Saccharomyces cerevisiae S288C: one gene and its partner. The protein of the gene in region 2 binds, or shares a complex with, the protein of the main gene of each other region. Each region holds a gene or a part of one and is shown on either strand. Other genes may lie near its edges.

The links. The genes of interacting proteins can lie anywhere in the genome.
Region 1: RPL1A (region 2) and RPL22B share a complex: the UniProt entries of both Saccharomyces cerevisiae proteins name them as parts of the large ribosomal subunit.

Annotation. Positions count from the first base shown.
Region 1 is NC_001138.5:63,663-66,667, forward strand, and holds RPL22B (60S ribosomal protein eL22 RPL22B), read right to left. Parts: upstream 1,271-3,005; coding exon 1,259-1,270; intron 938-1,258; coding exon 581-937; downstream 1-580. Other genes in the region: MOB2 (Mob2p), read right to left, coding at 1-197, 312-331; MIL1 (Mil1p), read left to right, coding at 1,815-3,005. UniProt on the Saccharomyces cerevisiae protein: Component of the ribosome, a large ribonucleoprotein complex responsible for the synthesis of proteins in the cell.
Region 2 is NC_001148.4:133,752-136,956, forward strand, and holds RPL1A (60S ribosomal protein uL1 RPL1A), read left to right. Parts: upstream 1-2,038; coding exon 2,039-2,692; downstream 2,693-3,205. Other genes in the region: FLC1 (flavin adenine dinucleotide transporter), read left to right, coding at 1-1,673; PCL8 (Pcl8p), read left to right, coding at 2,999-3,205. UniProt on the Saccharomyces cerevisiae protein: Component of the ribosome, a large ribonucleoprotein complex responsible for the synthesis of proteins in the cell.

The DNA of each region.
Region 1 (3,005 bases), on a different chromosome or scaffold from region 2:
TCAATTGCTGTGATTGCGGCGTAGACTTTTGTGCGGGGAAACTTGTTTGAGAATGCCTCTTAGGCGAATGATGTTTATTTCTTAACGATAATCTGGAATTGCTGCTGTGGGGGCTTGAATAAATGGTGTTCATTGCTGGCGGCTGAGCAACATTAAGGGGCTGGTTTTTATTTTTCTTTGAGTTTCTTCCGAATGCTCTGTTTTGCAAAGTATACACGTAGGATCAAATGATTTGATTAGGTGTGTTGGCTAGTTAGTAAAATGATAACGCAGGTCCAGAAGAAAATAAAACGACAACAGTGTGAACATACTTGAAGTTGAAGAAGGACATGATGTGCTGATAAATGCTTGGTTGGCTTGCGGAATTGGGGTAGTTGCTTTTCTTAAAGTTTTTTGATGATCTTCGTGTTTCAAAAGCTAAAGCATTTCTTTTTCTTTTCTATTTTTCACTAATTTTCGTGAAGTGACATATTGCAAAAATAAAATATGTAAATCAAAAGAGGGACAAAAGGATATATTAAGGGTGGTGAATTATGATATGAATAGCATTTTATAAATTAATATACATGTGAGTGTCTATTTATTCGTCATCCTCTTCTTCGTCAGCATCTTCAGGGGTGACTTGATAGAAAACCAATTTGTATTGGTTTTGCCTTATAGAGACGAATCTGATCCAGTCTCTTAGCTGATTCTTCTTCAAATACTTCTTTGTTAGATATTTCAAGTATTTACCAGAAAATTTGGCACTGGATACTACAGTGACTATAGAACCATCTTCAGTAACCTCAATGGCGTTCCCTAAGTTTCCTACGGCACCATCTACTTTAATATGATCGATTAAGTACTTGGAATATGAAGCCGGATCGAAGACTCCGTTTTCAGTTGGAGAGGAAACGTCAACGGTTAAGGTTTTGATAACTTTTTGCTTTCTGGAAGTCTGTTACAGTTTTATGTTAGTAATCCCAACTGAGATGAAATCATCCTTGTCGTTTGGACGAGGAAAAAATGTCTGGCCTACTGCTATTAACAATCACTTCATATAGCTAGAGAAAGCGCATTGCCTCTGTTAAAGCTATAAGGGGTGAATTTTTAAAATACAGAATAGCTGAATACATAAAAATGTAACTTCGAGATGGAATCCACTAGTTCGCTGTGAAAGCGGGACTGTTCAATGAACTGTAGGAATAGACAAACTTTTTAAAGATTTTATTTTCTTTCATGTTCTCTAATTGTGACATAGGAACGAAAATTAACGTACGTTTGGAGCCATTGTGGTTGATATTTGTGAAACGATATAGGTTTACTGTGCTACGGTGTTTTTATGATCCCAGATGTTCAAAAAAAATCAATAATTATCAATTAATCGTGTACTTTAATAATCCATATATGAATCATTTAGGTAATTAGCTCTTTTTTGCTTGAAAAATTCATCCATTCGGCTCGCGTTGTCTAAAAAAAAAAGTTTGGAAACTTTTTTGTATAATTTATGGGTGTTATCTCTGAATATGTACGGGTGTTGACATGGAGAAAGCAGTCTCGATATTTTGCCGACCTTAATGCTTTAAGAATATGAAAGGAAATGCGGTGCAAATAAACGATCCTATCGTGGTAGTAGGAAAGGGTGTGTACTACTAATAGAGAATTATACCATACGCTAGTTTGTTTCCGAGTTTGAATAGCTTCGTATTTTCCTTACTGGCTGGTACAGTTAGTTTTAGTGATTCTATTAGTGATTGGAAAGCATAGTGGAAGGGTTTCTCGAACGTAATAGAGGCAGAGTTAAAAGAGAAGATTAAACATTACAGTACTAAAAGATGTCCGATTCGGAGGAAGATTTAGGTGTACAGTTGAAAGGCTTGAAGATAGCGAGGCATTTGAAGGAGTCAGGGGAGCATACTGATGAAGAATCCAACTCAAGCCCCGAACATGATTGCGGCTTGAGTAATCAAGATGATTTAACTGTTATGCATACACAGGCTAAAGAAGAAGTTTTTAAACGAAGAGAAGAAGACGGAACACGAACCGAAGATGCTTTACATGAGGGAGAAGCAGGAAAAGAGGGCACAGGTTTTCCCTCATCACAGTCAGTGTGCAGTCCTAATGAAGCAGATAGCGGTATTGATCGGGCCGATAAACCTATTTTGCTGGACCCTTTTAAATCTGTGCACGATACGGATCCTGTTCCAGGTACAAAGTCCAGGAGCAATTCAGACTCCGACTCTGATTCAGATGATGGAGGCTGGCAAGAGATGCCCGCTGTCTCATCGTTCAATATATATAACCACAGAGGCGAACTAGAGTTGACTTCCAAGGTTAGAAACTCAGAACAAGCCTCTGAGACGTCTCCCACAGTTCCTCCAGGAAAAAATTGCAAAAGTGTCAATGATTCTAGATTTGACTATACGAAAATGGCCGCTGAGCAGCAAGCCCAACGATCCTATCGAACAAATAAAAAAACAGATTTCCTTTTTGACCACAAAGTACTGAAAAAGAAAATTAACAGTTCGCAAACTTCCGTAAATTTGACTTCTTCCCCTTCGACTACATCCTTGAACAATGAAAAAAATAATGATGACGATGATGATGATTCTTATGACGAATATGAGGACGACGTGGAACCAGTGAACGACTTGAATCGGGACTCGCAGTTAAACATAACGAAAAATCTGCTATCTGATATGGAGAAGTTTGCCTACGTAGGTGCAATAAACATTTTGGCAAATCAAATGTGCACGAATTTGGCTACGCTGTGTCTTTGTATTGACATTAAATCCCACAAGAAACTAGCACATAGATTACAGTTTACCCAGAAGGATATGGCTGCTTGGAAAACTGTGGTTTTATCACGGCTATATGATCATTTGGGGATATCTCAAGAAGAAATTGTTATGATTGAGAAGCTTTCTCTGCACAAAATCCAATTGGAAGATTTGTGTAAATGTTTGAAAACCACTCAGAGCATTGATAATCCATGGGAGAATGATAGAGACCACGAAGAAGACGGT
Region 2 (3,205 bases):
GCTTGATCCGTATTACATTTATGCAGAAAATCTTCCGTTGGTATGTAGAGGCGACTGGAGGCTCCGCATCTCTATATTTGACCGCGACAACAATGTCAGTGCTCACTCAACGAGGTCTGGATTACCTTAAAAATACTTCGGTTTACAAGAGGGCGGAAAATGTCTTGTACGGTAACTCAAACACTTTAATCTTTCGAGGAATTAAAAGAATGGGATACCGTATGAAGATTGAAAATACGGCCATCGTTTGTACTGGGTTCACATTCTTTGTGCTGTGCGGTTATTTTTTGGCCGGGTTTATCATGGCCTGCAAATACAGTATCGAGTTATGTATAAGATGTGGTTGGATGCGGAGTGATAGGTTTTACCAATTTAGGAAAAACTGGAGGTCAGTTCTGAAAGGATCGTTGTTAAGATACATCTATATTGGGTTCACGCAACTGACAATTTTAAGTTTTTGGGAGTTCACTGAACGGGATTCCGCCGGTGTTATTGTTATTGCATGCCTATTCATTGTATTGTCATGCGGGTTGATGGCGTGGGCTGCGTACAGAACCATTTTTTTCGCAAGTAAATCTGTGGAAATGTACAATAACCCAGCTGCTTTATTGTATGGTGATGAGTACGTCTTAAACAAGTACGGGTTTTTCTACACCATGTTCAACGCAAAACATTATTGGTGGAATGCTCTTTTAACGACGTATATTCTTGTAAAAGCTTTATTTGTCGGATTCGCACAGGCATCAGGTAAAACGCAAGCATTGGCTATTTTCATTATTGACTTGGCGTATTTTGTTGCCATCATCCGTTATAAACCATATTTGGACCGTCCAACGAATATTGTCAACATTTTTATTTGCACTGTCACCTTGGTCAACTCTTTCCTTTTCATGTTTTTCTCAAACTTGTTTAACCAAAAGTATGCTGTCTCTGCCATCATGGGCTGGGTGTTTTTCATTATGAATGCTGCGTTTTCTTTGCTTCTACTGTTGATGATTCTGGCCTTTACCACAATCATTCTGTTTTCTAAGAATCCTGACTCCAGGTTCAAGCCAGCAAAGGATGACAGAGCATCTTTCCAAAAGCATGCTATTCCTCATGAAGGTGCCTTGAATAAGTCAGTGGCCAACGAATTAATGGCCCTAGGTAATGTGGCAAAGGATCATACCGAAAATTGGGAATACGAACTGAAGAGTCAAGAAGGTAAAAGTGAAGATAATCTTTTCGGAGTTGAATACGATGACGAGAAAACAGGAACTAATTCAGAGAATGCTGAAAGTAGCAGTAAGGAAACCACCCGTCCAACCTTTTCTGAAAAGGTTTTACGTTCATTATCAATCAAAAGGAATAAGAGTAAACTGGGCAGTTTCAAGCGCAGCGCTCCGGATAAGATAACACAACAAGAGGTTTCTCCTGACCGCGCCAGCTCTTCGCCTAACAGCAAGTCATACCCCGGTGTCTCGCACACCAGGCAAGAATCTGAAGCGAATAATGGGCTAATCAATGCATATGAAGATGAGCAATTCAGTCTGATGGAACCAAGCATACTGGAAGACGCTGCTAGTTCCACCCAAATGCATGCTATGCCAGCCCGAGATTTGAGCTTGAGCAGTGTTGCAAACGCCCAAGATGTTACTAAAAAAGCAAACATCCTGGATCCTGATTATTTGTAAGCTTTGTCGATGGGATAAAGGTAAAAAGAACAACGTAATTAAATCATTACGAAAACTCTACTGCATTATTTTTTAGTCTTTTTATAGAGACATGAACATTCAATTACTTTCAAGGATAAATATTCTAATATTCATATTATTCACTTATGTATTTTTAACGAAACTCTACTCCATTCTACTGGGATCGGGCATACTTTACGGGGTGCACGGATTTTAGCAGTCTTTTTCTTTCTTGGCTTTTGCGAGATGCCTTGAGAGGAAGATTTTTTTTTCACTCAAAACCTCTGTCTTGTACATATCTAGAACATGTTTCATTGATATTGGACGTTACTATTTCAATTTAACAGTCAACCAGTCGTCCAAAAATGTCCAAGATCACTTCTTCTCAAGTCAGAGAACACGTCAAGGAATTGTTGAAGTATTCCAACGAAACCAAGAAGAGAAACTTCTTGGAAACCGTCGAACTACAAGTCGGTTTGAAGAACTATGACCCTCAAAGAGACAAGCGTTTCTCTGGTTCTTTGAAGTTGCCAAATTGTCCAAGACCAAACATGTCCATCTGTATCTTCGGTGATGCTTTCGATGTTGACAGAGCTAAGTCTTGCGGTGTTGACGCTATGTCCGTCGATGACTTGAAGAAGTTGAACAAGAACAAGAAGTTAATCAAGAAGTTGTCTAAGAAGTACAACGCTTTCATTGCTTCTGAAGTTTTGATCAAGCAAGTTCCAAGACTATTGGGTCCTCAATTGTCCAAGGCTGGTAAGTTCCCAACCCCAGTTTCTCACAACGATGACTTGTACGGTAAGGTCACTGATGTCAGATCTACCATCAAGTTCCAATTGAAGAAGGTCTTGTGTTTGGCTGTTGCCGTTGGTAACGTTGAAATGGAAGAAGACGTTTTGGTTAACCAAATCTTGATGTCTGTTAACTTCTTTGTTTCTTTGTTGAAGAAGAACTGGCAAAATGTTGGTTCCTTGGTTGTTAAGTCCTCCATGGGTCCAGCTTTCAGATTGTACTAAGCATAATTACGTGTTTTCATAGTTTAACGCTTTCAGAACTACTTATTTAATTTTGTAAGAAGTAATTTGAGTCACATTTGTATTTAGTAAAAGATTAAGAGTATTTCTATTTCACCGCCTTGATAGGAAAGAGCGGCGCGGAAGGGCAGCTGTAGGGAATTTTGCTCTGTATTCCCCTGTTTAATATCAAAAACAACAGAGAAGGATCCCCGATGAGAAAGACGCTCGGGAGGTCTCTGTGTTTGCTAGGCAATTGACATATTTAAAAGATTTTGTTTGAGGTTTTGCAGATAAACAAGAAGCAGTATGGCTAATGATCAAGATCCCAACAAGTCTCTCATTAATGACGCTTTGACTCGGAGTATGTCCGAATTTTATGATGATGATGATGATAACGACAGTGACATGTGTAGGGCAAATGATGAGGGAGAAGACGTTTTTGACCTTCCACTTAAGGTAGGCGTTTCTCAAAGCAGGAACTTTTCAGAAGTAAATGACGTGTTAGACCCGCTT